3 linked regions of the Ovis aries genome follow. The protein of the gene in region 3 purifies or fractionates together with the protein of the main gene of each other region. This does not show direct contact. Links are inferred from orthologs where the notes say so. Each region holds a gene or a part of one and is shown on either strand. Other genes may lie near its edges.

Region 1 (10,548 bases), on a different chromosome or scaffold from region 3:
GAAACTAACCACCCTGGAGGTTTCTGTGAAGCTCAGACTCAACAGTTAGATGATTACAGATGAAATGGAGTGGAGGACAGCTTGCACAGATGCCCAGGTGAGGGTGAAACATGTCCCAAGAGAAGGGGCAACAGGGTAAGGCGTGTGTGTTCACATCTCGAGGCCACGTTTTATCCCGAGACACAAGAAGCCATTGAGTGCAGGGATCTTTGGGGAACGTCCTTCTCGTGGCAGTGGCCTGGAGAGGCAGACTTCAAGGAGTGGGCCCAGAGGATTCTACCATCATAACATGAATGGAGGAATTTAGCCTGCAGGTGTTTACAGAGATGGTTACGTGGAACATTTAGACCAGCACAGAGTGAGGGCTCACAGGTAAGAGGTAAGTGGGTGGTGACCTTGTTGGGGGCACCGAGTGTTGATCTGTGGGCAATTCTGGTGACCAGTCTGTGCTACTGTTCTCATCTGTTAAGAAGGCCACGAGCAAGCAAACAGCAAAGGATTTATTGGACACTGGTGCTGATGCCACCCTTTGTTCATTCTAGACCTTTCATTGTCACCCGGAGGATCAGGGCAAAATACCCTAACAGGCCTGCAAGTGAAAAATATCTCGAGCGTATGACGGACTCAAGTCTTTGGGACACTTAACAAGCCAGTGTGCCAAAATGCTTTATCAACTTCACAGTGAGGTTTAACTTTTCATATCATCTAGACCAAATGTTAGGAGCAGTGACCACTAACCAAACATAAGAACAGATTGCTAAATTAAGAAGTTTTGACTATGTCCTCACCTTTTTTTTTTTTTTTTTTAAGCCTAAGGCAAACATACAGCTAATTCTTTGACAACTGTATTTGCCTAGTAAGAAACTTGGGCTACGACACAGTTGACAAGGACTTAGGAAGGTGTTTGGGAATGTGATGTGCTCAGTCATGTCCAACTCTTTGCAACTCCATGGACTGCAGCCCACCATGCTCCTCTCTCTGTCCATGGGATTTTCCAGGCAGGAATATTGGAGTGGGTTGCCGTTTCCTCCTCCAGGAGATCTTCGTGGCCCGGAGATTGAACCTCCATCTCCTGGGTCTCTTGCATTGCAGGTATAACCACTGGCTGTATCTCAGAGCTGATCAGGTACTTGAGTAGTCCGTTGTCTCCTGTCTCTGAGACAGTGTACTGTTCAGAAGTGGACCCAGTAGCCACAGCTTCTCTGCAGTACAGAATTGTGGCAAAAGCCCTGCACTAGAGGTGCAATACCAAAGATACTCTCCAGAGAAGGCAGATCATGTTATCAACAAACTTGTGAGAACTTAGAACTTCTGGGGGGTGAAAGTACGAGTGATATTAGGGTCATATCTTAGCACCTATGCTTGTCTGTGCTCTTCGGGTTGGGGCATGTCACCAAAATCAATCCAAAAAATTCTGCTGATTGATTGGTCAGCTGGACCTTTCAATCCTAAGGCTATTTCCTGGTTCCTCATGCAGGTCAGCATACCAGGGCTGCAGAGATACAGGGGCAATGTCTAAATGATTGAACACCTAAGAATTCTGGTAATTGGCAAGCTTCTTAGCCTTTGAGTGCCAGAGCCAGAAAAATTTATTTACTTGGTGATTAAATATGAAATGCTAGCATTGCCACAAGCCGCTTTGTGATTTCTCCTTAGCACTAGCAGTGTGATACCCAAGTACTGTCAGCACCTGGAGGAGTGTGGAAAGTAGAGGACAAGGCCTCTTCTGGTGCCAAGGTCCAGGTCTCTTGCTTCCCAGGTCTGTGATCTGTAGTCAGTTTCTCTGCCCAGAAAAGGATGCTGATAACTTTTATATTATTACTACTGCCCTACCTCCTTTATGGGTTGTTTTAAGGGTCAAGTCAGGTTAAGATAGGGGAAAGTCATTTAGAAAACCTAAAGCTCTGAAAACATTTATTATAACATACAGCTCATCTATTGGATGACCTTTCTGATACGAGTTTTGGATTTCTCTGTACATTAAGTTGTAGGAGGGTTCTGGCAGGACACAGATGTGTAACACTCAAGGGGGTAACTCTAGAGTGTTTTAACTGGTAAAGCACATTGGACTAGCAACAGAGAGATGCAATTACCAGCTGCAGGTCTGAAGGGACAAATGGAGAGAAGTTCCTGGAATCCAGAGAGCTGTGTTCCAGCAGAAGCTGTAACCTGGGGTGGAGGGAAACAGCCACAGCCCTCCAAACCCCAACAGGAGGGGAGCCAGAAACTAACACTCTCCCCTCAAGCTCCTGCCCTCTGCTTTCCTGCTGTTAGGTTCGATTGGCTGAACCCAACCCAGACCAGGGACCCTGCTGAAAGCTTTGCAGCAAAGCCAGGAAAGCTGGCCTCAGGCTCCACCCTTTGTTCCCTCCCCCAAGATCTGAGCAGGTGTTGCCGTAGCTGGTTTGACGCTACAGCAGCCAAGCATCACGAGGTTCTAAATCGTGAACAGAAGCAACACACCATGTTGTGGTTTATTTGGTAGAAAGACAGGCTCTTTATATATTAATACTCTGTATAAACATCTCACAGACCGCTTCTCTTTGATTACAAAAAGGCAAAGCCCGTTTTCTTTGAATTGGGGTCCTTGAATGGATGTTCAAGTCACCACGATAAATACAGGAGCTGCTGCTGTATCTAACATTCTGGAAGGTGCTTCAAGAAATGCACGCTAAGGCCTGCCTAGCATCTGAAAGGATCCATCTTTCCTTTGAAAGCCAAAGAATGGTAATAAATAAGAATCCCAGAGATCTGACACTGGTGTTGAGTGAGTTTGAGAAGGCTAATTTAATGATGACCAACTCAGCCTTAAAAATCTTCTAGAGACTCAGAGAAATGGCTTCCCCTTCTTCTCCACCTGGCTTTCTCAAGGATGTCTTTCTGGGACCCAGGCACTGACTACTAACAGTCTCATCAGGCTTCTTGAAAGGGTTTTTGGCGAAAAAAGCAGCTTTAGTTACTGTCTATCTTCAGCCTTTAGAAAATTATTTTTTGTTAAAAAAAGAGGGGGGCGGAGATCCTAAGGAATTCAGCAAGAAATAGGCACCTTTTATGAAAAGGACTTTCAAGGCTCACAACTTAATCGAAATCACTTTACTGAAGTATCTCCACATAAAACACAGCACCTCTTCCTCCGCAGCTGGATGGATGGTACATGTGCACACAGACGACCCACTTAAAATGCCCTCACTGGAAACAGCAATTGTGGCAAAAATACAGCTACCGTAGCTCCCTTGAGTAACATTCACATCCCTCCAGGCCGCACCCCGCAGAGTTAGCTGTAGGAGAAGCAGTAAAGGTCCTGCCGGACGGCCATGAGCAGCCCTGGCGCTCCCTGGGAGCCCCCAAGCCGAGAAGAGAAGGCCACGCTGGGAATGTCGGCCTTGGAGGTGGGGTATGGGGAGGGTATGGTTCTGAGTAGTTGGCCATCGTGGAGGCTCCAGATTCTCGTGTAGCAGTCCTGGCCCACTAAGAAAGAAGGAAGACGTGCGGCAGGTTAGTGAGAAAGCACAGGACCAGGGCGGGGGGCGGGAACTGTGGCCCCAGCTTCCACGATTCCTAAGGGCTAAAGGTGATTCCACGTGAGCCAAGCAAACTCACAACGGAAACTGTCTCTACAGATAAGATGTCCCTTTTGAAAATGAAAGTTACAGGTTGCCCTGGTGCTCCAGGATCACGAGTCGCTGGTGTTCAAAGGGACAAGACACAAAGGCTGGCTGTGACACCCTGGGTGGTTCATGGGGCATCTTGGCTATTGGGTGGCCCATTCTGTTTCTCTTGGTGACAAGGGCTGTTCAAGAGGGAGCTCAGCCCACCTGTTCTAGATGGCATGCAGCTCATTTCCTTTTTATGAGACAGTAACCAGGACGATCTCTTTAATTTCATTACATCCCCGGGCAAATTGGGTGATAACTCCCTCCAAAACATTTTCTGCTTTAATGATTCAGTTCATAAGACTTTACAGTCTTCAGTGTTCATAGGTCAGAGGAAAGAGACACCAGACACCACTGATTACAGCAGCTCCGACAGCCAATATATGCTAGTGGGGGAAAAGGGCAGACCTTAGGCGTCACGGATTTCAGTGTGTGCTTCTGAGCATCCGAGCTGACTCTCTGACCTTAGGGGTGGGTCAGTTCGGGCTGTGCAGTTCAAGGATTACTGCAGCCAGCCCACTCCCTACACCTGCTTCTCAGCAAGGCTCATATCTTTTCTATCGTCCAGAACACAGAAACTCTTCTGTGGTGAAAACTTGTGGAAGACAGACTTAAGGAAGCTAACTGCTGGTGGTGTGGTAAGAGTCGTAAAAAATTCTGAGTTCTAGCGAAGTGATGCTTCTCAGCCACAAAAAATTTCACAGCAGAGAAGTACTTTCTGTAGGAATATTAGAAAATTTGAGATCTGTGAAGACTGAGAACATACCTCTTAATGCCAAGGGCCTACTGCCTTGTGAAACTGCCAAATAATTATATAATATAATCTGTGATCAACTTGTAACTCCTTTCAAGGGGGTTTGGTGCTCGAAAGCTCTGCTTCTGTTCTACACATCATGGGATCACAGCGGTGGTGGTAAAGGGACCGGGCATTGGTTCCTTTACAATGACCTTCATCTCTTTTCTCAGCATCCTCTGGTAGAAACGTGAGTACAAAGAACAGGGAGCTCAAGCTTTTCGACAGGACGGCCGCCCTGAATGTGGACCTGGTGAGCAGACTTAACCCGCACACCCAGGTCTCCTACGTTGCTGCGTTTTATTGCTCCTCACTGGCCTGTAACTGAAGTGATGTCTGCCCAGGGACGTGGAGACAAAGGGCTATCCACATGCTGGGGGTTAAACTGTTGCTCACTGATGGCCAACTTTGCACCCCATCTTGACTCCCAGACCCAACTGTCCAAACCCCCTTTATTCAGCTTGTCACAGAGTCATGTCTTCTCTGCTTCAGCTGCTGGGGGTCCTCAGGGTCAGGGTCAGTGGGACGGAGCGCCTCATCCCCAGCTACCTGCCACCAGGATTCCTTCCTCTTCGTGCACATGCAGGGGCAGGTGGGCATACTCGTTCACGTGCCCTGCATACTGCCTGATGCACTTGGTGGTCCTCAGGTCCCACAGCTTGATCTGTGGGAAGAAGCACAGAGGCTGTCAGGAAGGGTCCATGAGCAGGTCCTGGTGAGCCCCAGGCGTGAAAGCCAGCGGGGACGAGGTGGTCTCCAAAGACCACCTCAAGTGAGAAAATGCCTGGTCTGAGTCTGAGAACCCATCAGAGGCACCAGGACCAGTGACCCATCCCTTTAGACCAGACGGGGCTCCGAGTGGGTGGCAAAGCAGCTGCCCTGCACACCTGGCACCTCACTTGGTCTCCATGCCTCTCCCCTGCCACGGTCCGACACAGGAGTCTCTCCTGCCAAGCCCCTCCCCTGGCCCAGAGCGGCTCCCGCAGCTGCAGAGTCAGTGGTACCCATACCGTTCCGGCCATGTCAGATGCCATCAGGCACTGTTCTTCTTGGAGGATCTGCACAGAGGTCACTGCAGAGTCATGGAACAGGCGGGTGGCCTTCCAGCCCTTGCCCTGATTTTGACAACGTAGATCAATGGCAAAGATTTCGCCAGAACGACAGCCGTTAAATAGCAAAGGAGCCTGTGGAGAGAAGGACTGCTTGGTACCTCCCTCCACGGCTGCGAAGGCTGAGTCCCCCAGAACACAGCCCCCTGCCTCCCTTCTCTGGATCAGAGGGATAGGTAGAGGCAGCCTGGTTAGGGTTCGAGCTTCAGTGGAGACGGAAGGGCTTCTTATCAAAGGTCAAGAACTGGACACCATGTGTCCCTCCAGTGTCCTCCCCGCTGGCTGCGACGGGCCCCTAAGGCCTCACCCTGAACCCCTCCCCTCCCGTGAAGTGAGGGTGTCCCGTTCCCGCCCAGGTTGTGAGTTAGGAAGTAGGTGATGAGAGTGGAGTAAAACAGACTAGAAATCGAGGGAAGACACGGGTCCCAAATAGCATGGGAAGATGGCTGAAGAAACCGGAATGAGGAGTTCTGTGCTTATTGCCAAAAGCAGGTCGGCATATCTCTTCCACGCTTTGAAAGAAAGGTGGCATTTTCTACAGGTCAAGTCTTTGAAATGTAGTAAGGACCAGAATTTTGATTTTTAAATTTCATGGGTAGCTTGACAACTGCATATAAAACTGTTACTAACTGGGACATAATTTATACATTAAAATTTTTTTATGGTCTTGCTGGCTAATCTAAGTACTCAAGAACTAACACTTCATTGAAACTTTAGGAAGCTGCTGAAAGCCAGCTGAGCCAGGCCTTTCTAGATCGGCCAAATCTCATCCAGCACTGACTTATTCACCCATGAATCACTTTGGATGCCCTCTTTTTCCCTGCAAATGAGAGGAGGACTAGATTGCACACAAGGGAATCCTATTCCAACCCAGCACAAGGTCCCCTTTTGGGAAACTCTGAGTTAGGCCGTCCCCAGTGCAACCAACCGTGACGGCAAACTGCTGGGTCAAGACGTCGCTGCTGGTTCCAAACGACTGCCGGTGTCCCGTCACCACGCTGGTCACCAGGACTCGCCGAGACAAGCCTGACAGAGACGGAGATGGAGACATGGCGGACAACGTCCCTCTCGGTCCAGGGAGAGGGAACTGTGGGCCGGCATTTCGGGTCTGGGTCCTCCCTCACCCTGGGCAGCTGGGTGGCTCACCTGTACTAAAGCAGTTGTTTGCCTGGATGTTCAGGGACCACGCACAGGACCAGGCCCCGGGGATCCGGAAACTGCAGAGCATGCCAGGCCGGTCTCCTGCTGAGGGAACAGCAGCAGTGTTTCAAGTCTAGCTGTGCAATCTTAAGCAAACCTTCTGTTCATTTTTAAAATTGATAAAACATACATTAAGGGCACAAACCATACTATATCCCTTAATGAGTTTTCTCAAAGTAAGTAGAGCTATATAACCGCCACCCAGGTTGATAGAACATTCTAGTACACTGATACCCTTCATGTTTCTTCCCAATTACTACCCTCCTCACTCCTCCCTAAAGGAAACCACTATCCTGACTTCTAAGAGCCTCTCTTGGTTTTGTAAGGCAAATTCTGAACCTCTTTTTGCCTCAGTTTCCTCATCTGTAAAATGGTGATACTACATCCTCCTGCTTCACAAACTGGCTGTATGATGAAATGCTAGGCACAAGGCTAAGTGTGCATTAAATCACTTAATCTTCCATGTAACCCGAGGGGGCAGATATTTACTTTCCAGAGGTTAAGCAATCTCTTCAAGATGGTTAGGGGCAGAGCTGGGATTCATGCCAGGTCTACCTGAGAGGCCTGATCCTTGTCTCTGATCCTAATTCTCTGAAACTGAAAACTTCATATCCAGAATGCTGCCAGGCCATCAGGCTGCCTTCAGCCATACAGAATCTAAGTATCCCTCACAGCACCTTCCATACAGTAGGAGCTTAACAGATGCTCTCTTGGTCATCTGTATATAGGCAACCTAAATAAATATTTTCATCTCCTATGTTGGTTATACATGCTTTTAACTGTTCTGGCTGCTGAAAAGACCTAAAAGGAGGGGATAAGTGAAGATGTACATGCTTCCAGTACAAATCCTGGGTGGAGTTTAAGGAATCCTCCCAGGTGCTCTGCAGACCGTCCCCACCCTGCAAGCTCCCACTTAAGACTCACTAGCCTGTGGTCCCCACCCATCTTGTCCAAGCCATCACCACAGAGCTTATGCTGCTGCTGGCTGCAGCTCCTGGGAGGCAGAGGACAAAGATGTCCCCCAGCACCTCCTTATCCATCAGTACCTGCATGATTACTGACAAACAGCGACGTGGGGAGCAGGGTGGCACAGCCCGGAGTCTCTGCAATTCCCATAAGGCACAGCCTGGAAAAGCTGTTAAGGACAGTCAAGAACGAGTCTCCTCCAGGAGGAGAACGGGCATCAGCACTCTTCAAAAAAATCATCCACATTTAACAGGCTCACATTTTCCATATTTAGTTTGGATATTTTAAAAGGAAAAAAATGTCACAGATACACTTAAAGGCCCCTTTTTAACTTCCCCCACACAGAGAGAATTGCTACTCTAAAACAAGTCTGAGTTCTAGGCCTTAGCATTTATACTACACAGTATTTGTCCATAAGCAATGTAAAGAAGCATTTGATTTTAAAATACATGTAGACGGCATCACACACAATCTTCTACAACTGTTCAATGTACATTGTCTCTGAGATGTAATTGCGGTTGTGTTTGCAGCTCTGGTTCAACCACCTGCACCATAGAGCACTCCTTTGTATGAACAGACCACAATTTATTTATCTGGGATCCTGCTGCTGGGCAATGAAGTGGGTTTTGCCCCCAACCCGCATCCTTTTTTCCTCTGTCTTCCACTCCCATGTATGGGATGCTTCTCTTAAAAGTTTCTCACACCTGTGATAAGGGCTTCACTTTACACTAGCGTGTGATACATACACAAACATTTAAAACAGGAGTTCCGTAATACATTCACCCTTACTAAATAGGAAACTGGCATCTTCTAGCAGTTTCCCCCATTCTCCTCCTACACCAAAACTTGGCACTATCAGACCTTAAAAACTGCGTTTATCTGAGTGGGTATAAATTATCTTTTAATTTGCATCTCTGACTACAGCTGATAGTCATCAGGTTTCCCGTTCTCTGAGCTGCCACTTTACATCCTTTGCCTGCTTTTCTGCTGGACCGTCTTCTGATTTGGTTCCTTTCCCTTCAGAGTTTCAACAGGAACCTGTGTTTATTCCCTACTTCCTCGCCTTTTTACTCTTCAACCCACTGAAATCCAGGTCAGACCTTCACCTTTTCAGTGAAATGTTCTCCACCAAGGTCTCCAGTGAGCTCTTAATACCTAAACCCGATGAATGCCTTCCAGTCCTGCCCTGAGCCACGCAGCACAGTTTCTAACGACACTCCTTGGCTCCATAAGCACTCCCCCGGCGTTCCATCCTTGGACCTTCTATCACTAAGACACCCCAGCCTAGGCTCTAAAGCCTCTTAAACTTGTCTCTCCTCCACTCCTGTTCATCAGTTCACTCTCCACTACTCTTGGTCCTGCAGCAGCCTTCCATCCAATGTCTCATCCTCACCAGTCAGCCACCCTCACTGCCACAAGAAGTGAATCCATGACCACCGTTCTCAAGGGGCATCCCACAGCCCTGAGGATTTGGTTTGGCAAGGTCCTACCTAGCCAAAAACATCATGGCTACCAAGCCACTTACTGCTGCCCAATGTGCCAAGCTCGCTTCTCACTCTTCCTTCTAATGGGCACTCTGTCCCCTCCTTCCCATGTGGGAGTCACCTCCAGAAGGTCCACCCAATTCCTGTACTCTACAACTGCCCCACGGCCATCAATGCAGACTCGATCACCTGTTGAGGTGCCCAGTTCCAGCCTTCCACAGGGATTGCAGATGCTCAATAAATGATGGGATGAATATACACACTTCATTGAAAAACGTACATCTGTGCAAGCAGGCAACAGTCTTGACCACCTGCATGTGTGACGTATGTATGGTATCATGTTGCCTTGGGTGGTAAGCCTCATGTTAAGTATCTCTAGTACAGAGGCTGTTGAAACTATACATGAGAACCCTGTGTCTGGGCAGCTCAATTCTTTCTTAAATAAATCTCTTTTCCTTTTAGGTTTGTAGGGCAAGGATGGGAGAAAGTCCTTACCCATGTTATTATGGCTGAAACCCAGGTTACACTCAAGCTCTGCACGGTACTTGCAAGGGCCAGTATCAAAGATCTAATCCTTTAATAGGCCACAGGTCAGTGAAGAAACTAGTTAAGTGTAGAAAAAATTCAGTCGAACCTTCTGCCACTCCAGAGAAAAGAGCAGATGGCTGGTCTGAACCAGGTGTCATTTTTGTAAAGGGAGAAAGTTCAAGGCCTTCACTAAAAGCAGCAGGTGTGTAAAAGCCTGATTACCTGAAATGACCACCAGAGGGCAAGCTGCTCATCAAACAGCAATAGACCTGTCATTAAACCCCATTACAGGCATACTTTGTTTTACAATGCTTTGCTTTACAAAAACTGAAGATCTGTAGCAACCTGATGTTGAGCAAGTCCGCTACTGTTGCTATTTTCCCAGGGGCATCTGTTCATTTTGTGTTTCTGTGTCACATTTTGGTAATTCTCACAATATTTCAAAATTTTTCATTACTATTTTCTGTTATAGTAATCTGTGATCAACGATCTTTCATGTCTATTGCAAAAAGATTGACTTGTCTTCAACAAGTCAAACTCAGGTGATGATTAGCACTTTTAACAGTATTTGTAAGTAAAGGTGTGTACGTTGTTGCTCAAATATAATGCTGCTGCACACTCTAATAGGATAGTGTAAACAACTTTTATGTGTACTGGGAAACCAAAAAATTCATGTGACTTGCTTTATTATGATATTCTCTTTGTTGCACTTGTCTGGAACTGAACCTACACTCTCTCTGAGGTAGGCCTGTAAATGAATTTTTATCGTCACAAAGAGAAGCATCGAAAAATGCCATATTTTCTGAAGATCAGAA
Region 2 (10,548 bases), on a different chromosome or scaffold from region 3:
ATTTAGGGAGACCACTTATGGAATGGTTGCAATGATGTAGACATGAAGTTATGAACATTTTGGGTAAGGGTGCTGGCTGGTCGTGATAGAAAGAAGGTAGAGCATTAGAGGACAGTTTAGGAGGTAAAAGCTTCAGAGTTCGGGGACTGATTGATCAGGTATGGCAGCTGAGGAAAGGAGGTCCCAAGGGAGACTCTTAGGTTTCCGGTTCCTTTGGCAGCAGGTGAGCGGCTGTGCCATTAACTAGAGTAAGGGAAGGGTAGAGGGTCAGCTTTTGGAAAAAGTATTAAAAGTCACTCTAACATTTTTCGTAACTCCTACTCTGACTGGAAGGGACTTTCATCATGTACTTTTTCTATATTGTCTGAGTTTTTATGAGCGTGTAGTTTATAATTGGAATAACAAGACAGATTGAAAAAGACCAGATTCCACCATCTCTCTAAAAACTGTCATTGTGTGATAGAAAATACGGAGCAGGAAGAGAGCACACTGAGAGAAGGGTTAGGAAATTAAGGGAGGATTTTCTGTACAACTTGGAGCTGAAGCCCGTAGGCCTTCACCTCTACCCACCCCACTCCTCTCCCCCCATCACAGTACTGGTGGCTTTTCCCTTAAAGAGACAAGTCAGAGAATTTAAGGTGGGACTATTCAAAATGTATACACTTTTTTTAAAGAATTAAGCATCTAGTTTGGTTAACATGGTATGTGACTGTAAGTCAAACAACTAGTATGCTTTATCTGATTCGGTTATTTGTGGTTAGTCTGCTGTGCACGCTCAGGCACTTCAGTCGTGCCCGACTCTTTGCAACTCTATGGACTGTAGCCCACCAGGCTCTTCTGTCTTTGGGATTCTCTAGGCAAGAATACTGGAATGGGTTGCCATGCCCTCCTCCAGGGGATCTTCCTGACCCAGGGATTGAACCCAAGTCTCCTGTGTCTCCTGCACTACAGATAGATTCTTTACCTTTGAGCCACCAGGGAAGCCAGTCAGTCTGCTGCTGCTGCTGCTGCTGCTAAGTCGCTTCAGTCGTGTCCGACTCTGTGCGACCCCATAGACGGCAGCCCACCAGGCTCCCGCCGTCCCTGGGATTCTCCAGGCAAGAACACTGGAGTGGGTTGCCATGTCCTTCTTCAGTGCATGAAAGTGAAAAGTGAAAGTGAAGGCACTCAGTTGTGTCTGACTCTTAGCGACCCCATGGACTGCAGCCTACCAGGCTCCTCTGTCCATGGGATTTTCCAGGCAAGAGCACTGGAGTGGGGTGCCATTGCCTTCTCCTAAGTTAGTCTGTCTGCTAGACGGTGTCAAATGCCTGTTCCTTCTTCCATTCATGGCCGTACTTGGCTCTCATTCCCTGCTGGTCTCCCTGTCTGATTCCAGCCCCCATCTTGGGTTTGAAGGATGCGAGTGGCAAAGATGTCCTGGACAGGGAGTGAGTGAGGTAGTTTTGTACATTACTTGGTATTTAAAACTGCTTAAACCTTACTAGTATTTTTTTTGGACTATATCAAAATGTGCACATGAACTGTGTCACTGTGAAAAGGAGCAGCTGTGTGAAACTCACTATTGTTTATTTTTGCTCAGAAGTGGAGGATATTTGTTGCTGAATCATGCCAAAATCCTTTTAGAAAACTCATGAGAGAGATTTTTTAAAAATTCAGTGCTGGGAATTTCTGAGCCTCTTCCAAGCAGCTATTAAGTTTTAATCTAATTGGCAGTGAAGAGTCTGTAACTGTGTTTTCCTGTGCCTCGTCTGCTGAGAAAGTCAGAGCCACCTTGGCAGTTCCACAGTTTCTCATGGTATGCATTTTTGTGTACTTCAGACTTCTTTTTATTGTCCTTTGTTTACCCTTCACAGTGATTGTTTTCTAATTAAGAAAAATTCTGAGTAAGCACAAATATTACTTAAAAAATATGTAATTTTAAAAGAACAACAGTACAATGAATGCTAATTCAAGGAAAAAAAAAATACACTTCAGAATGCCACCAGGGTGTCCCTAACTCCCATCCCGTTTCCTAAACTTCCTCAGAGGCACCACTTTTGAATCTCAGGTTTGTAATCCTTTACTGTTTCTAATTATATGCCATATGTGTTTGTGTCCTTAAACTAGAAATGGTTTGAAACTTATATAAAGGGAATCACACTGTATGTATTCTGTAACTTGCTTCTTTCACTCAACGCTGTGTCTGAGATTCATCTGTGTTGTTATGTATGACTGTAGTGCATGAATTCATCGCTTGCGTGGGGGAATTGCCGGGCAGTCCAGTGGTTCGAACTTGGTGCTTTCACTGCTGGGGCCTGTGTTCAATCCCTGGTCAGGGAACTAAGATCCCACAAGTCTCATGGTGCAGCCAAAACTAAATAAGAAAAAGATTCCCCTGCATGAATGTGCCTGGATGAATTTAGCTAGATTACTGTTTTTTGTTTGTTTGTTTGTTTAGCTAGTCTACTATTGATGGACATTTGGAGTATTGTCAAGATTTTGTTGTTGCCAGCAGTCCTGCTGTGGACATCTTTGTATGTGTTTCCTGTTATATACATGCAGACATTTCTCTAGGTCAGGATTTTAAGCTCGTGGGCTGTGTGGTCTTTGGTCTTAACAAATCAACTACGCCATTGTAAAGCAAAAGCAGCCATAGGCGACATGTGAGTAAGTGGGTATGACTGTGCTTCAGTAAAAATTTATAAAAATAAACAGGCAGGCTAGATTTGGCCTGAGAGCAGTGGTTTGCAGTCTTTTGCTCTAGTCTAAATCAGTAGGAAATACATTAATGAATTGTGACGAGTAGTTTGAGAAACTTGATTTGTTTAGTCATACAAGTATGCACATTTTTAACTTGACTAACTCAGCTGCTAAAGAATCCGCTTGCAGTGCAGGAGACCCTGGCTCAATTCCTGGGTTGGGAAGATCCCCTGGAGAAGGGATAGGATACCCACTCCAGTATTCTTGGGCTTCCCTGGTGGCTCAGTGGTAAAGAATCTGCCTGGCAATACAGGAGACATGGGTTCGATCCCTGGGTCGGGAAGATCCCCTGGAGGTGGGCATGGCAGCCCACTCCATTATTCTTGCCTGGAGAATACCCACAGTTAGAGGAGCCTAGCGGGCTGCAGTCCATGGGCACAAAGGGTCGGATATGACTGAGCAACTAAGCACAGCACAGATAGTATATATACTTACACCAGGCATTTCTAATTTCAGGAGACAGAATGTAAACAAATTCCCATTGTCTGTATGTTTTTATTTCTAAGATACAGGTTGGATCAGTCACTCCTCTGCTTAAAACCTGTAATAACTTGCATGACATGGCACGCAAAGTATTTTCTAATCTGGCTCCAATCTACTTTTTTAGGTTTCTCTTATCACTTTGTTTCCTGTGTTCTAACCACTTGGAATTGTGTTTCCCAAGTGTACCACACTACACTCTTTTTAAGTGTATTTTCTTAAGCTACTTTCTTTCTGAAATGTTCCTCCTTTATTTTACCTAATGTGTTGTTTATCCTGGACGACCTTTGTCAAATGTTGTTCCATTCATTCATTTCTGTTTGTGAGCACTTGCTGTGCTTCAGGCGCTGTCCTAGGTGCTGGAGATTCAGCAAGGAATTAGACAAGGCCCCTGCTTGCTGTCCAGTGTGGGGAGACAGATACTAAAACAGTAAACAGATGGTTTCAGAAAGTGATAAGTGCTGAAGAAGATAAAATAAGGTAAAACAGCAGATTGATGTGGATGGAAAAAGGCATGACTTTAGGTAAGGTAGTCAGAGAAAAACTGAAGAGTTGCTATTTAGCTGCGATTTGAATGATCAAACCGACAGTTGGTTCAGCCCTTTAAAAATGTTGCTTTGCTTCTTTCTGGCCTCCATAGTTCCTCATGAGACATCCACAGGTATATGAATTGTTGTTCCCGTGTGGCTAATGTATCATTTAAGTGGTTGCTTTCAAGGTTTTTACTTCATGTTGTAGGTTTTCACAGTTTGACTATGATATGTCTGGGCGTGGATTTCTTTGGGTTTATCATGTTTGGCGTTCTCGAATTTCTAATCTTGGGTTTATGTGTGTATGTGTGTGTTAGTCGTTGAGTCGTGTTGACTGTGACCTCATGGTTTGGGGCCAGCCAGACTCCTCCGTCCATGGGATTTTCCAGGCAAGAATACTGGAGTGGATTGCCATTCCCTTCTCCAAGGGATCTTCCCAAGCCGGTATCAGACCTGGGTCTCCTGCACTGCAGGCAGACCCTTTGCTGTCTGAGCCACCAGGAAAGACTTGGGTTTATGCGTGGGAGGGTTTATTTCTCAGGTCTTAATTCTCTTCATTTGGTATATTTTTCTATCTTATGTCATGCCACACTTCTTTGAAATCAGTAAGTCTGAGTCTTCTAACTTTGTTCTTTTACAAAATTGTGTTTTAGGGTCCCTTGAGGTTACATGTACATTTTAGGATGAATTTTTCTATTTTTGCCAGAAATGATTTTAGAATTTTGATAAGAATTGCATTAAGTTTGTAGATTCTTTGGGTAGTACGGACATCTTAACAGCCCAATGAATGTGTTTTCTATATGAATTACAGAGTGAATATGGTGTTTACACTGAGAAAATTTGATGTAGTTGAAGGTTTGTTCTTTTGAATATTCCCAACAGCTGAGCATGCTTTGAAAGTCTTCCTAGAGAATTCGGTCCTTCCCTCAAAAATTGAGTTTTGATAGACTTAAAGCTATCTGGACCACTTACTAACTGTAACTTGGGAAGGAGAAATGCCAATTACCATCATGTTGGGAGCTCCTCCACCCAGGGTATATGGAGGAAATGTATTTGACTTGTGTATACACAGTTACTCCTCGAACAACACAGATTTTAACTATGCAGGTCCACTTACACATGGATTATTTTTTAAGCCATTCATAATTTTTATTTTATTCTTAGTGGAGGATGATTGTTTTACAATGTTGTGTTGGTTTCTGCCATACAACAGCGGGAATCAGCCCTATTTATATATTGCCTTCCTCTTGAGCCTCTCTCCCACCCCCACCCCACCCCTCTAGGTCATCACAGAGCGCCAGGCAGGACTCCCTGTGTTGGACAGCAGCCTCCCACTAGCTGTTTTACACAACATGCTACTTTCTCAGTTCATCCCTCCCTCTCCTTCCCCTGTACACGTGCATTTTTTCCAACAGTAAATACTGCAGTTCTGCACGTCGCTTGAATCCACGGGTGTGGAAGATCTGTGGACAGGAAGGAACCACATATCCTGAGCCAACTACAAGTTATACTCAAATTTTCAGGTGCAGAGGGTTGGTGCTCCTCACCCCCGCCTTGTGCAAAGGTCATCTGTATTTATGTTTTGGTAAATTTTTGTTTTCTTGACTTCTCTTTTTTACTTTCCCATGCAGAGATGTGATAATGGATCATCATGTTTCCACCATCAAACCTCGAAGAATCCAAAACCAAAATGTCATTCACCGCCTGGAGCGCCGGCGGATCAGCTCGGGCAAGGCAGGCACCCACTGGCACCAGGTCCGGGTCTTCCACCAGAACGTCTTCCCCAACTTCACCGTCGTCAATGTGGAGAAGCCACCTTGCTTCTTGCGAAAGTTCTCCCCCGACGGACGCTACTTCATCGCTTTCTCTTCCGACCAGACCTCTCTGGAAATCTACGAGTACCAGGGCTGCCAGGCCGCCGAGGACCTCCTGCAGGGCTACGAGGGGGAGATTCTGGCCAACGGCAACGACCAGCGGTCCGTCAACATCCGCGGCCGGCTCTTCGAGCGCTTCTTTGTCCTGCTGCACATCACCAGCGTCGCGGCCAACGGCGAGCACCTGAACCGGGAGTGCAGCCTCTTCACGGACGACTGCCGCTGCGTCATCGTGGGCTCCGCCGCCTACCTGCCGGACGAGCCGCACCCCCCCTTCTACGAGGTGTATCGCAACAGCGAGTCCGTGACCCCCAACCCCCGGTCCCCCCTGGAGGACTACTCCCTCCACATCGTTGACCTCCACACCGGCCGCCTGTGTGACACGCGCACCTTCAAGTGTGACAAGGTGGTCCTGTCGCACAACCAGGGGCTGTACCTGTATAAGAACATCCTGGCCATCCTGTCGGTGCAGCAGCAGACCATCCACGTCTTCCAGGTGACCCCCGAGGGCACCTTCATCGACGTGAGGACCATCGGCCGCTTCTGCTACGAGGACGACCTGCTCACCGTGTCGGCCATGTTCCCCGAGGTGCAGCGGGACAGCCAGACAGGCATGGCCAACCCGTTCAGGGACCCCTTCATCAACTCCCTGAAACACCGGCTGCTGGTGTACCTGTGGCGCCGGGCAGAGCAGGACGGAAGCGCCGTGGCCAAGAGGCGCTTCTTTCAGTATTTTGACCAGCTGCGGCAGCTGCGCATGTGGAAGATGCAGCTTCTGGATGAGAACCACCTGTTCATCAAGTACACCAGCGAGGACGTGGTGACTCTGCGGGTCACAGACCCGTCGCAGGTAGGAGCTGCCGCCCCGCCTGTCGCCCTCCCGCCACCTCGCGGGAGGCTTCTTCTGCCTGTTCCCAGCCTCTCGGAAGCAACACCTTTTATGTGGATCTTGAATTTTTGCTCCCCTAGGGCCGAACTTAGAACAGCTCCACTTATCTCTGGCCATATGTATTTGTTTGGACAAATGGAAGCTAAATCTCAAGCCATTGACATATAGGTAGTCAACCCTGTGAATATTGTCCTATTTCTCTTTTTTTTAATATATATATTTTTGCAACTTTACTCTTTTGGGGGCTGCGCTGGGTCTTTGCTGCAGCAAGCAGGGCCATCCTGCTTGCCCTGCAGCATGTGGGATCTTCATTCCCTGACCAAGGACCAAATCTATGTCCCTTGCATTGGAAGGCAGTTTCTTAACCACTGGATCACCAGGGAGGTTCCCTACCCTAATTCTTCTGTAGAGCATTTTCAGTACCCTGGAGATGGAAGCCCAGATGCTCTAAGGTTAAGATTTGACTCCCTGTGGATAGTGCCTTGGTTTTGTGGAAGATTGTACTTATTGGTCTGTTTTAGTTCTGGCAATGAGAATGAACCCATCATACAAAAAAGGAAAATCTTCCAAAAGTCTAGTCTTTTTTCTTGTTTAAATGATGTCAGTATACTTTCTCACAATATCTTTAGATTGTAACTAGTCTTTTTCTTACTGAAATGAACTCAGTATACTTCCTCACAAAATCTTTAGATTGTAACCAATGGGACAGTTCATTTAATAGAGTTAAGCTCTATGACTTTACTCTGACCTTGCCCACATGCTGGAACATAGACTGTGGAGCAGTGATAAGATGGGAAGGAAGTAAAAGTTTTTGATCTACCAGTGAATCACCAGGACTGCAGGTTCTGAGGGTTTTTTAGTTTGGGTGAAAGATGTTGATGGGGAAGACGCATTTCACAAATAGGAATAAGGTGTTGGGTTAAGAGTATAGAAACCGTGAAGATGGTTGGGTTGAAACACCATGCTGAACCTCAGGGTGATGTGGACATTTACCTTTGAGGAGCTGTCTACTTTATTGTTGACCAAGAGAGACCTAACTTCTTTACAGTTCAGTTCAGTTACTCAGTCATGTCTGACTCTTTGCAACCCCGTGGACTGCAGCATGCCAGACTTCCCTGTCCATCACTAACTCCCGGAGCTTGCTCAAACTCATGTCCATCAAGTTGGTGGTGCCATCCAACCATCTCACCCTCTGTCGACACTTTCTCCTCTTGCCTTCAATCTTTCCCAGCAACAGGGTCTTTTCCAATGAGTCAGTTTTTCACATCAGGTGGCCAGAGTATTGAAGCTTCAGCGTCAGTCCTTCCAGTGAATACTCAGGACTGATTTCATTTAGGATTGACTGGTTTGATCTCCTTGCAGTCCAAGGGACTTTCAAGAGCCTTCTCCAGCACCACAGTTCAAAAGCATCAGTTTTTCAGTGATCAGTTTTCTTTATGGTCCAACTCTCACAACCATACATGACTACGGGAAAAACCATAGCTTTGACTAAATGGACCTTTGTCAGTGAAGTCATGTCTCTGTTTTTTAATATGCTGTCTAAGTTTGTCATAGCTTTTCTTCCAAAGATCAAGTATCTTTTAATTTCATGGCTGCAGTCACCATCTGCAGTGATTTTGGAGCCCAATAAAATAAAGTCTCTCAGTGTTTCCACTGTTTGCCATGAAGTGATGGGACTGGATGCCATGATCTTCGTTTTCTGAAGTTTGAGTTTTAAGCCAGCTTTTTCACTCTCCTCTTTCACTTTCATCAAGAGGCTCTTTGCTTTCTGCCTTAAGGGTGATGTCATCTACATATCTGAGGTTATTGATTTTTCTCCCTGCAATCTTGATTCAAACTTGTGCTTCGTCCAGTCTGGCATTTCACATGTTGTACTCTGCGTATAAGAGCAAGGTGGCAATATACAGCCTTTACGTATTCCTTTCCCAGTTTGGAACCAACACCCCACCCCCCATCATTCTCCTATTTCCACATTGTCTCCTTATATACGAGTTTGGAAGTGTACAACAGAACAAACCAGTAAACTGCCGTCAGCTGAGTCTGGTTTCTCTCATTGACTTGTAGCTGATTCTGCCCTTAAGAGAAACTACAGAAAATTTTCTCCTGAGACCTTACCAACCATCAGTGGAAAAATGGTTTCTAATATTTTTCTTCTGAATCATACCTTGTGTATTCTAAAAAAAAAAACAACAAAAACAAGGGTAGGGGAGGGGAGGTGACTAAAATGGTGGTGGTTTAGTTACTAAGTCATGTCCCACTCTTTGCAACCCTATGGACTGTAGCCTGCCAGGCTCCTTTGTCCATGGGATTTCCCAGGCAAGAATACCAGAGTGAGTTGTTATTTTCTTCTCCAAGAGATCTTCCTGGCCCAGTGATCCAACCTGCATATCCTCCATTGGAAAGCAGATTCTTTCCAGTGACATCAGGGAAGCCCATTGAGATCTGAGTAATAAATTCGTTAGAGATTTTTTTTTTCTGAATTTTTTTACTTCCTTATTAATGATGAAGTCACCATTGAGGGTGAGCGTCCAGTTCATCTCAGGCGTCATGAGAGGGTGTTGGTAGAGCCTTTGACTTCTGTACCCTTCTGTCGTGTATTTCCCAGTGTGCCCTGGTGGGAATGTTAGTAAATATTTGTGTAATTCTGTGTTCACACAGTCACGATGGATCCTGGTGAAGCCCTCATGTGATCCAAGTGTCGTCCAGGTTTATAGAAATGACATGAGTCCATCTTGTATTTAGGTTTGAGCTATAATTACCTTTTTGTTTTGGAGGGAGTATATTGTCTGTGACTGCCGCATTCGAGATTATCCTTTTCTCCTTCACTAAAACGTGACCTCCTTATGTCCGGTAGCTACAGTAAGTCATAGCCAGCAACATTGCTAGGGCTCTGTGCTTTGCTTACAGAATTTGTAACTTTAAACCCAAACTCTCCCCTCGTTTTCCTCCAGTCTCCTTCCCCAGTTTAATTTGATAGGTTCCAATAAGGTTAATGAGTAAAAAGTGTACCTCAACACAAAGCCTTGCTAATATTATGGGTATTATTCTCAGATTACCCTCCAGCCTCTTTAATTTACAGCTAAATTTAATTTCCAGGTGACCGCAAAAGTCATGTAATATAAGCTCTGGGAAGGACTAATTACTGGTGAAACAGGTGGGCCAGATGTCTCCAAAAATTGGTAATGAAGATTCAGGTTTAATCCTAGGAGGCAGAATACTAATCCTAGCGTTCTGGAAACTTCTAGAGTCCTGGTGGAAGACCCACACTGCCACATTCACTGTGACAAAAACTTGGGGTACCTCGTGCTTCCGTGTTAAGCTGAGCAGAACACTGGAGGTTCAGAGAAGAGGAGCAGGCACCTAGGGACCCATTCAGAGAAAGCAGTAACTCTGCCACCCAGAGCATCTGAATGCTTTTCATGTTTCCCCCTCTGATCTGTATTGCTACAAATGTCCAACATGTGTTACAAACGCTCTTGGCTAAAAGAACATTTATGAAGAAAGAAATGAAAACGCTTCTCTGACTTTTTCATTTGTCCAGCAGCAGTCCCCCGCTTGGTTACAACTTGCCCAGGTGGACATGGTGTGCTTAAGACGTCTCTCTGCATGTTAGAAATACTAAGAAAGAAAAGGAAGTGCCCCCAAATTGAACTTTCTGCTATACACATACAAGAGAAAATAATTTGCCAACAGGCAGCTCCTGACTGCAAATCACTTTCTCAGCAGGAAGGAAAATTAAATCTGGCATTTTAGAAAAGTGTTTTTAATCTCAGAATGGGTTGGGGCATAAGTAGGGAATAAGCACTTGAAAGGAAACATATTAAATTTGCACACAGTTTGAAATGAAAGATTGAAAGCCCTTTTATACATATATGCTGAACAACTCAGTAATTCCAGCAGCACAGGTACAGTGGGGAATCAGGCAGCTCTGAGGCCCTTGATGGCTCAATCCCACTGAGGCTTCCTCCTCTTCCAGAACCTCTAGGCATCATGTTGCTGCTGTAGTGCCAGAGTGGAGGTGTTTGCTTGTTTT
Region 3 (10,548 bases):
AACATTAGCCCTTCGACCACTGCATTTTACTGACTTCGAAAAGCCCGTGTTGAGTTATATTGAATAATCCCTTCCTTTCTTTCTTAGCTACCAAAGTCTAACGGCAACTTAAAAACATTCTTTTCATAAACGTGCTTCAAAAACGAGCAAAGCGGCAGGCGCAGGACTTGCCTCCTTGAACTCGGCCTTCAGCACCGCGTGGCCCAGCGTCGTCTGCCACTGCAGCTTCCGGCCGCTGTGCTTGCCCAGATAGAACGTCTTGAACACCTCCTGCAGCTTGATCATCTGTCAGCGGAGGAGGGCGAGCGTGACTGTGCTGCGCACGCTCACTCTGACACTGCCAGCGGCTCAGCGTCCGAGTTCCTAAGCCACCGCTGGGCCGAATGCGGCCTGCTCCGTGTCCTGACGGCGGCCCACCAGCGCGCAGCCCCGTGCTGCCACCATTCCAACAGCTCCTGCCAGGGGCGGTGGGGCCTGCCCCCGCTCCCGAGCCCCGCAGGCTTCCTCGGCCCCCTGCAGCCTCTGAGCCCAGGAGCGCCGGTGGTCCGCCTGGTCAGAGCCCGTGCTCTTGCCCGGCTGCGCAAGCTGGGACGACCCTCGCTGCCCCCGCTCCCGAGCCCCGCAGGCTTCCTCGGCCCCCTGCAGCCTCTGAGCCCAGGAGCGCCGGTGGTCCGCCTGGTCAGAGCCCGTGCTCTTGCCCGGCTGCGCAAGCTGGGACGACCCTCGCTGCACTCCTCCTCTCCCAGGGAAGGCCCTGGGACTCTGGCCTGTTCCTGCCATCCCTCCACGCCCGGCCAGTCCTGCAGCGCCGGCACGCGTGTGCACGCACACCCCAGGGGGAGGGGGGAGACGAGTGTCAACCAGCAGGCACAGACGGGGCGTGGAGGTTTTCCAGGAAAGAGTGTCAGCTTGCACGGTCACACCCGCCCTGGGAGCGTGAGCGCGCCAGGCAGAGTGTGGGGAGGGGTGCAGAGCCGTCCCATCGCGTGGGGAGATGTGGGAAGGGGCGCTGAGTCTGGGACAGCCGTGACAGACCCGGGGTGGGGGGGATTGGAGACACAGGCTGGAGGCTGAGAGGGACGGAGCTGGGGCTTCCAGGGAACATGTGCGTTCGGGGTACAGGCAAGAGGAAAAGGAGGAGAGGACGCGACAGAGACTGCCTGGGGCCAGAAACGGGGGACTCCAGGAGACTCTGCCCTGCGAACAGGAAGGGTGGGTCCGGGCAGCAGCACATCTGCCCGGGTGCCAGGCCCTGGGCCTAGCTGTCGCCCCGGAGGCCCTGGGCCCACGCCGGCAGGCACACCCCATCCCCCTCACAGGGCCCGTCTCAGCCACACAACGCCGTCCCTGCCCTCTCAGGCCCTGGCTCTGGTATGTCGGGTGGGAGCATCAGCCAGCCAAGGAAGCTCGAGGCTCCCACACAGGAGCTTTTTAAACCAGCGCCTCCGTGACAGGCAGCCGGCAGAGACAGACCAGGAGCGCCCGCTGTGAACGCTGCTCCGAGAAGACGCGGATGGTCAGGGCTCAGCGAGCGTGGCTGCCACGCTCCCTGCGGTGCGTGGGGCCTGGAGCAGGAGCGCGTGGCAGCAGGGTCTGGCTCCCGAGCGCGCTCACCTCTGGAGTCAGGTGCACCTCCACGGGCGTGTACGTCGGCCAGTAGCCCATGGTCAGGATGTTCACGGTCAGGTCTATGGAGCCCGGGTCACTCTGGTTCTGCATGTACTGCACAGACAGGAAGCCGGGACAGACGGCCACTTTAGAGCAGCGCCCAGAACTGACCTCCAGAAACCGATGACCCCATTTCCCAGCTACAGCTCACCTTGCGTTTCATTTGTTCGAGCCCCTGGAACATAGCCCACTGAGGCCACACGCCCTGGTCAAACGCCACTGGGAACGTCTCTCTTCACTTCTGCCCCAGATACGGGCCATTAAGCTCATTTAAGCCAGAGTTCCAAGTGCACTTTTAGGAATTAGTTTTCTTTTCTTGTTTTCCAACTGCGCCACACAACCGGCAGAACCCTAGTTCCCAGACTGAGGACTGAATCTAGGCCCTCGGTAGTGGAAACCTGGGGTCCTAACCACTGCACCAACAGGGAATCCCGGGGGGTTATGTTTCTTTTTCATTTTGAAGTGTTCTGAGTACGTGGAGCATCAACAGCGTGATTTTTAAAGACGAGGATTTTACACAGGTCACATACTTACATGCAAAATCATTTCACAGAATCTGAAATAGCGTGTTTTTAAAAGAGCTGTTTCACTTGAACACAACTTGCCTGCTTGAAATGAACCATGATGTCCTTGGAGAGCTCCATGTCCTTGAACATGCCCTCCAGCTTGCTGGTGAATGCGGCCCCGCACTCTGCACAAAGCGGACGGCGGGTGAGCATCAGGAAGGCCCTGAGTGGGGCGCTCACCCCCACCCCCGGCGCTTACCGTGCTTCAGCTTCGACAGCATGGATTTCTCAGCGTCGACGGAGGCACTTTTTCCAACCAGGAGTCTTTTTGCTAGATCTTTTTTGTAAAAAGCTTCAAACACGTCTTTACCTATTTATAAGCAAGAACCATGTGAGACATTTAACAGTTGCCGTCAAAATGTTCACCTCAGCTTCTGACTCGGCCCAAGAGGCGACCACGCGCGTGTGCCAGCCAGCTCTTCCCGCTGAATCCCCACAAACCCCCTTGCTGCGCGCACAGCGGCTGCCACCGCGGTCCCATGCCGCGGACGCGCTGGGGGCCCAGCTCACCGTGGATGAACCGGAACAGGATCATGACTTTGTCCAGCATCCTCTCCAGCTCCTCGTCTGTCGCCTCCTTGTTCCCTGCTCTGAGCTTTGAGTCTACGTGCTTTGCTGTAGGAGAGGATATCATTTGAAAAATAAGCATTCACTCCACAATACGATACATATTCTAAATACAAAAAGGAAGGTCTTTAATTTCTCCAAGAAAAAACACTTGGAACCTTCCCAAACTGACATGTTATTTTGTAACAAAAAGGCAAACACCTGATGTTCTAAGATCTGTGCTTTCCAGGCTCGGAGAACACACCCCGCGGTCCCACACTGGAGCTTCCTGGCACACGACCGCTCCAGAAGCCGGAGCAGCCCGCCAGCAGGATTTGCGGAGACGTGCGGGCAAGGCTTCCTTACGCGGGAGCACTCCCCTCAGGGCTGACCCCTCAGGCACAGAGTGGGTCCGCCTGCCCTCCTGCTTTCGAGACGCACAGGCTGCCTCGACCTGCCCAAAGGAAGGGAGAACCCGAGCTCCCCAGAGTCCGAATGTGTCTTTAGAGAAACCACAGTCTATAAAGTGGCACAAAGGCCAAATCAAACAGGTGCATTTGAACGTCTCCTTCCGCTGGCTCGTCTTAGCCCCTCCCCTCATTGTCTTGATTCTGAGCGCCACAAATGTACGCACTTGTAACCTCCACTTTCCCACCAGGCGCCTTCACCAGCCCACACCGGAGCTCAGCCCTATGCCACGGCCTCACACCTCCCTGCCCACTGCCTCTGGACAATTCCAAAAAAACTGCCTCACTGATGAGACTCCATGAATCCTGGTATATTTTGATGTTATCAGGAAATAAGTATACAAAGGGATCATTTGAAAGAGTGCCAATCAATCGCACCACATTTAACACTGACTGGGGGATACAAGGTCGAGCCTGAACAGCCATCTCCTGTCAGGCGCTGTCGAGAGGCCAACAGTCACCCTCCTAACATTCCTACACGACAAACCCAGGCCAGCTTCTGGGCAGGAAGAGCTCTGGGGCCGGGGCCGTGCAGGCGAGGAGAAATCTGCTGGTCTCATCCTGCTCCTGAGACGTCAGGCTCCATCTTGTCACAAAACCATCACCACACGCTCCCAATGGAAACATCACGTGCTCACATATGGATTCAGCACACAGAAGCGCACGCTGGTGTCTGTGGCTTCCGGAAAGGCGGCCCTCTCAGGCCCGCCCACCCTCCCCGTGCGGCGCGTGCTCCAGGGGAAGCCTGTGCGCGAGCCTGCTCCCTACCGATCAGCTCCGCGGGCTTGTTGGGCCGCTTGTTGATGAATGTCTCGAAGGACTCTTTCATCAGGTTGATGAACTTCTCGCTCCGCTGGAAGCACACGTCGATCACGTGGTCCACTCGGTCCTTGAAGTCCAGCAGGTCCTGAACCATGTCTTTGTCTTTCTCTGGATTGATGACGATCGTTGTCCCAAAAGTCTGCAAAACACACCAGCTCAGCCACAGGGCTCCAACGCCGCAGTTCCTCTCCCGCTACCAAGCGACCGTGATGGCTGAACAGCTTAATCACTCCCAGTACTAGGTGCTGAGTCCCTCCAGAAGCTTCACAGATTTAGTCCACGTTCTAAAAACTGAGTGGGCACGCAACTAACCTGTAGGGTTACAATTCTGCTTCTGGAAGAACTTTTACTTATAAATCCCTCAAACAGAAATTAATCCTCTTAACCTTCTACACCTATTTGGACTTCCTAACAATAGTTCTTTCTCTTTCACGTTCAACTGTGGTTTAGACTCTGGTTTTTAGCCTGCATTTTTATTTAAGAAATGCTATTTAAACATGACTAGAAGTCTGTATGACAATACCAGTTGGCTATCTGACTACACACGACACACGAGGAGCTCCACGTCAGAGGTGCACGTGGGGGCAGACCACTGGCGGGAAGGCTCAGGTGAAGCGGCCGAGAGGCTTCAGGAGAGGGGCCTGGCGCGGCCTGCAGGGGTGGGGGGCAGCGTCACGGCTCATCCTCAGTGGACACCCGGGACAAGCTCACAATCCAACGTCTCCTGTCCAGGCTGGACGCTGGAAAGCTGCCCTCCTGTGTCAGGACCTGGGCCCGTTCTTTCAGAACCCTGGGCGGCAGAACCCTCGACCCCCACGGCCTTTCCTGGCATAAAGCCCAGTGCTGACCAGGCCTGAGTCGCGCATGCCTCTCGGCTCAATGCGGCGGCACAAGACCCTGGGGGTGCGTGTGCGTGTACGAGCCTTCCACGCGCAGGCCTGACTGTTCCCGTCATCTTTCTCACTGAGCTGAATCTTCCTCCTGATGGTTACAGGCCCGCGTGCAGCAAGAAGAGTGACCGTGTGCCTCGCGCGCCCAGCCTGGTCCCCGGCGCTGACACACGGGCCCCAGCCGAGCAGCAGCACAACCAGGACCCCGGCCCTGACGCAGCTCACGCCTGCTCGTCCAGACGGGCCACGCGCTCACCTACACCTCGCCGGGGGCGCAGCACCCAAGCCCAGCGCCACACAGACCACTCCTGTTGCCTTTTTGTAACCGAAACACAAATAAATCCTGGGTTTCCGGGAAACAAAGCCGCATACACCCTACCCAGACACACCAAACTGTGTAAGTTCCCACCGAGCCAAGCATGAAATCATGTTTCAACAGTAGATTCCCAAAGGCAACTTTTTGAAAATCATAGCTATAGAACTCCGCTAGTCTCCGCTAGTACTTATGCAGACAACAAACGGCCAAACAGCAGCTTTTAAAGCATTCACACCTGGATGCTATTTATCCCCAAGACTGTGTGCTCACCGGACCCAGAAGGCGATAGGCAGGTCCAGCCGGGCCCGCCTGAGCCTGCAGGAGGGGAGGCAGCTCTGGGGACCCGGGCCCCCCGCCCCGCCCCGGGCCCCGCCCCGCGCCCCACGCACCTTGATGTACTCGCTCCAGTGCCGCAGCAGCGCCTGCTGGCCGCCCCGCACGCGGCTGAACAGCTGGTACATCTGCGTGAGGTCCGGCACGCGGTTCTCGTCCAGCAGGTGGTCCAGCCCTGAGATCACACGGCAGTGCTAGCTCGGGCGGCAGGTGGACGGGGGTGGCCAGGTCTGCTCACTCCCCGGGACCCCGCGCAGGCAGGAGGCAGCCCTCGGGGCCAGTCGGCTGGCCGCCACGCGTCCACGCTGGTGGTCAGCCCAGGCCTGAGCACAGCGAGGCTGTCTGCCCGCCAGGGGCTGGTGTCTTTCAGCCCTGACAGGACTCCTGTGACTTTAGCCCGAACCTTCCATGCTCCCTGCCCACCCCCTCAACACAACTGGTAACCCAGCCCCCCCCAGGCTGAGGGCCACCACCTGCGACGATCATGGTGACTGAGGCTGTCACGGCTGCTCCAGCCCTCTCACTGAATGCAGGACAGGCGGTCAGAGCAGGCACGAGAGGCGGGAAGCCTACCTTTCTGCAGAATTGCTGTTAGATGCTCTCCCAAGAGCTGCTTCTCCACACAGGCGATCAGCGGTTTCCTGGGGGGGGGGGGGCGGGGCACAAGGAGCCCATCAACCAGGAGGGACGGGCCCACCCAGCGCTCACCCGGCCTCGGGCCACCGAGTCCAGCAAGAAGGGCGGCAGCGGACGGGGCCCTCGCGCTCCAACCCACTGAGCTCCAGTCCCCGGGCCTCCAGGACCGCTGCCCCCAGTCCCGCCCCACTGGGTCCCACAGACCCCCCCCGCCACCCCAGCTGCCCCTCTGCTCTTCCACCTGCGTCCTCCCAGGATCACACATCAAAGCCCGACTCCTCACAGAGGCTGGGAGTGTCACACGCAGCACAGAGCCAGACGCCCTGGAGACGGGCGTGTGGGGCTGCCCCTGCACGAGGGGACACGGCGCCCTTCCGGGGCCCAGGCCCCTGCTCGCTGAGCCCTGTCCTCGGAGACCAGAGGCCTGCTGCACTCCTAGGAGTCGCTAAGCTCGGGCCCACTCGAGGGACTGCTCCCTGCACCACCTCACGTGGCCTGCACGGCAGCCCCACACGGACAGAGGCCGGCAGCCACCTGGGCTCCAGGCGCCAAGAGCTGGGGAGGGGGCGTGCAGCCCGGGACTCATTTACTGGCCTCCTGCACCTGCTTTCTCTGAAAGTCACCTTTCGCCCTGTGGCCTCTGAGTCATCTGACACTGCAGAAGCCACCTCAGCGCCCCTCAAAACCCTAGCCCAGGGAGCCCCCCCTCTCCACAAGCCCTCTGCTTAGCCTGCAGTCACTTCTCGGAGACGGGGTGCGGTGGGGCTCGCATGCCGCACCCGCATGAGGGCTGAAGGAGCAGCCGCCGGGCCTAGCACCAGGGGCTGCTGGCTGGGGCGTCCCACCACACAGTCCTCTGCCTCGCTGCACCCCAGCCCCCGCGGTCCCACGGCGCCTCCAGCTCCTTGTCTGGGGCAGCCTGCCTCTGCTCCAGCCCTGTGTCCTGTCGGGCTGCCACACTGTTCCTGCCTGTCACCTCTACCCCCCTCCCCCCTCCAGGCCACCACAACCCGCAGTTGAGCACTTTTCCTCTTAGAAACATCTCTTTTCCATCTCCCACGTTGCTGCTCTGACCTTCCTCACTTGAATAAACGTTACGTGCCTGACACAGACACTCAAAAAACTTTCCCTTGAACTTCTCCCTAGATACTCATCAATTCAGAGAAAAAAATCAGATGAAATGAGAAAATAATGGGGCTTGCATTAGTAGCAAAATAGTTCCGGCGACATCGGTACCTCAGACTTCCAGCCAAAGTTCACAGCAAAACTGCCTACGTTCAGTGACGCCCCATCAACGTTTCATAAATGACAGATTCCTAACATAAATTAAAAATGGCAAAAAGACACCAAGTATCTGTTCAAATCACTCCTTTGGACAGGATCTCAAGACAGGCCACTCGGTCAGTGCGACTCACGACTGCTGAACAGTCACGAGTGATAAGCAAACTGCTCGAGGACCAAAGCCACGTCCAGGGCCAGAGAGCAGCAAGTGAGTCTGTGAGACGCCGTGCGTCGGGGAGTGGAGGGGACATCGTCCCCCGGAGGCCCCCAGACGGAGCCCGGAGCGGCACTCACTGTGTACTGTGATCTAGGTATGTGATCACGCGGTCCGCCTCCTCCTCCAAGCGCTTACTCACGTGGTCAAGGTACTCTGGAACCTTCCAGAAAGAACATTGAAACACTTCAGCAACAAAACACATTCTTCACGTGACCCAAGAAGTTCAAACGCTGCTTTAGTGGAAGAAAAAGCAGAACTGCACGCAAGCCAAACCGGAGCACCGGCTGACGGAGCGGGGAAGGGGCGCGGCGCCCCGTCCACACGGTGCGGCCAGCGGGCACCCGTCACACGCTTCCCCCAGGGGCCCCAGGAGGCTGCAGGAGATCGCAAACCACACTCCGAGTTTCCGGGGGTGAAGGGCGCCCGTGCTGCCCCCTGCCTGCACAGCCGGGGCCCGAGGCCCTGGCCCGGGGTGGTGCCCAGGCTGCCCTCCAATGCTGGCCCCAGGGCTTCCTTCTGGGCTGGGCTCTAAGGCTGGAGAAACCAGCTAGAGAGGTTTTGGGGTTTGATTACCGTCACCTGGCATTCCCCCATGGCTTTTAGGGTCTTTTCTTTCAGTGTCTCACACAGGTGAAAATGTTTAGCATATCGGGTCTATCTTTCATATTTAAGCGTTATCTTTAGAGAACTCCCTGGCAGCCCAGTGGTTAGGACCCCACGCTCCCATGGCAGGGGGCACGGTTCAAACCCTGGTCTGGGAACTAAGATCCCACAAACGGCTCAGCACAGGCACCCCTCCCCCCAACACACACACACACACACACACAAAATTATCTTTTATCATATTGTTTCAGCTTGAGCTCCTTTATGTAAACCAGAAACTGCTTTTCTGGTTTTTTTAATGGGGGGAAAAGTTTCTAAAATAGGGGGAAATTAAACTCTCAAGATACTAAGAAAGAATCTCATTACTGAGAACTGAAACTAGATTGTAGCTTTCAGAAGATTTTGAGGAGAATGTCTGCCTGTGTGAAAAGACAGATGCTTAGAAATCACACTTGGATACACTTCTATGAAAACCAAGTAAGGCACTTCAGAAACCTCTCGGCGACTCACCTCTCTTTCTTGCATTAACCTTTGGCCTTCTGCAGCATATAAACAATTCGTTTCTTCCAAAAATTTCAGTTCAAATGAGTCTTTATATACCTAAAAAATGAGCAGAGTTACTGGCCAATTACAGCAAAGAAGCCGCTCATCCTGAAGGCTGACCCCTCGGCGAGGGCGGCCGGCTGCACTGCCACGCCCCTGCTTGGGGGCAGCTCCCTTCTCGCCCCGAGTGCAGAGGGACAACACTCCCTCATTTTTAGCCAACGCCTGAACGGTGTGGTCTCCAGCGAGGTCTGACCCTGTCCTCGGGCGGTCGGGCCCACCTGGAGGTCAGACAGCATGCCCAGCAGGCTCCGCAGCAGGCTCCGGTCCACCGCCTCGCCGCTCCGCTCCCGCTCAATCAGCAGCAGGATGCCGTCGATGGTTTTCGTCTGGACCGTTTTGTCGCTGATGATGTGGTTTCTGAACAGCTCTAGCCCCATGTCCCTGCACAGCAGAAAAACGAGACGCGTCGGGTTCACCCGTCACAGATTTTGGGTGAAGCTCCAGACACACCTGCTTGCTAACTTGCTAGTGCACAAGTCGACCTTTTTCTAATTTTCCTCCTGACAGTCTGGCACGCCTTGTGCCTCTTCCCTCATCCAGGCAGCCTGTTTCCTGCGTGAGTCAGTGGGTCCCCCCACCCTGCCGGGGGCCCCAGGGCCTCCTGTCCTCGGTGTCCCCCGCCCCCAACCGAGCCCGTGCTCCAGCCGCTGCATCTGTCTGCGCCACAGGACCGCAGAATGAGGATGCAAACCAGAGCCCGCCACCCATCCTTAGCCCGTTGCCCGAGGATTCAGGAAGAAGTTCACCCGTGGCTGCAGGCACCCTCTTCTGGAAGCTGAGCTCTCAGCTCGGGCTCCAGCAGCTCCCACTCAGCCAGCAGGACACACCCTCATCCCCTCCGCCCTCCACCGCCCACAAGCCGCATGTCCCGGGCACAGCACCCGAATTAGGAGTGACTGTCCATGTGGATGGAGGCCAGGAGGGCTGCGGGTGAGCCGGGGCAGGCTTCTGCACAGGCTGAGTTGCTCGGGCTGCGGCCAGGAGGCAGCAAGCAGGGACCCAGGTGACAGGGGCGCCGGGTCCCGGCTCACACGGCCCCCCAAAGGCCCCGCATGCAGAGCAGGGGGAAGCTGGGCCCTGGCGCTCAGCACCCTCAGAGCAGAGTGAGGGGTGGAGACTCTGAGCCTGCCAGGCCCGTCCCGGGACCCCATCTCCCGCAGGAGACCACACGGGACTGCCAGCCACCACCTCGGCGGCCACCCCTCAGAGATGGATGCCCCGGGCTGAGGTCCACCGAGGGGCCCGGTGGGTGCGCAGAACAGACAGACGGTCGGGCACGCACAGCAGCCGCAGCGCAGACACTCACCAGATGGAGGGCAGCGTGGAGTTCTGCAGCACGTACGTGCGGTCCAGGAACAGGAAGATACTCCGGATCATGATCTGGGGGCAGAGGGCCGGGTCAGCCCACCCCAGGCCCCCCAGCGTCTCACATCTCACGCGGCTGCCTCCCCTGAGCGGCCGCGTCTCACATCTCACACGGCTGCCTCACCAAAACCCTCAGGACCGACGCCCCGAGTCTACTTGCTCCCCTTGGTGTTGGCTTTTCCTCCTTCATTCAGAAAATCTGACGAAGGACTTCACAGCACTCGGCCTCTGA

The links. Proteins that work in one complex are often made in the same cells at the same time.
Region 1: the proteins of CUL4A (region 3) and DCAF4 purify together in Homo sapiens (affinity purification with mass spectrometry; 8 studies listed by BioGRID and IntAct, counting the BioPlex papers as one, with this or other methods). This does not show direct contact. The link is inferred for Ovis aries from reciprocal best matches to the Homo sapiens genes CUL4A and DCAF4.
Region 2: the proteins of CUL4A (region 3) and DET1 purify together in Homo sapiens (affinity purification with western blotting; 6 studies listed by BioGRID and IntAct, counting the BioPlex papers as one, with this or other methods). This does not show direct contact. The link is inferred for Ovis aries from reciprocal best matches to the Homo sapiens genes CUL4A and DET1.

Annotation. Positions count from the first base shown.
Region 1 is NC_056060.1:82,553,456-82,564,003, reverse strand, and holds the end of DCAF4 (DDB1- and CUL4-associated factor 4), read right to left. Parts: intron 7,882-10,548; coding exon 7,802-7,881; intron 6,801-7,801; coding exon 6,702-6,800; intron 6,582-6,701; coding exon 6,484-6,581; intron 5,631-6,483; coding exon 5,457-5,630; intron 5,111-5,456; coding exon 4,996-5,110; intron 3,469-4,995; coding exon 3,275-3,468; 3' UTR 3,079-3,274; downstream 1-3,078. UniProt on the Homo sapiens protein: May function as a substrate receptor for CUL4-DDB1 E3 ubiquitin-protein ligase complex.
Region 2 is NC_056071.1:18,919,160-18,929,707, reverse strand, and holds part of DET1 (DET1 homolog), read left to right. Parts: intron 1-5,167; 5' UTR 5,168-5,275; intron 5,276-5,383; 5' UTR 5,384-5,393; coding exon 5,394-6,476; intron 6,477-10,548. UniProt on the Homo sapiens protein: Component of the E3 ubiquitin ligase DCX DET1-COP1 complex, which is required for ubiquitination and subsequent degradation of target proteins. The complex is involved in JUN ubiquitination and degradation.
Region 3 is NC_056063.1:85,894,163-85,904,710, reverse strand, and holds part of CUL4A (cullin-4A), read right to left. Parts: intron 10,332-10,548; coding exon 10,258-10,331; intron 9,333-10,257; coding exon 9,170-9,332; intron 8,946-9,169; coding exon 8,856-8,945; intron 7,903-8,855; coding exon 7,820-7,902; intron 6,250-7,819; coding exon 6,182-6,249; intron 5,784-6,181; coding exon 5,665-5,783; intron 4,209-5,664; coding exon 4,016-4,208; intron 2,850-4,015; coding exon 2,745-2,849; intron 2,545-2,744; coding exon 2,434-2,544; intron 2,360-2,433; coding exon 2,274-2,359; intron 1,723-2,273; coding exon 1,615-1,722; intron 286-1,614; coding exon 172-285; intron 1-171. UniProt on the Homo sapiens protein: Core component of multiple cullin-RING-based E3 ubiquitin-protein ligase complexes which mediate the ubiquitination of target proteins. As a scaffold protein may contribute to catalysis through positioning of the substrate and the ubiquitin-conjugating enzyme.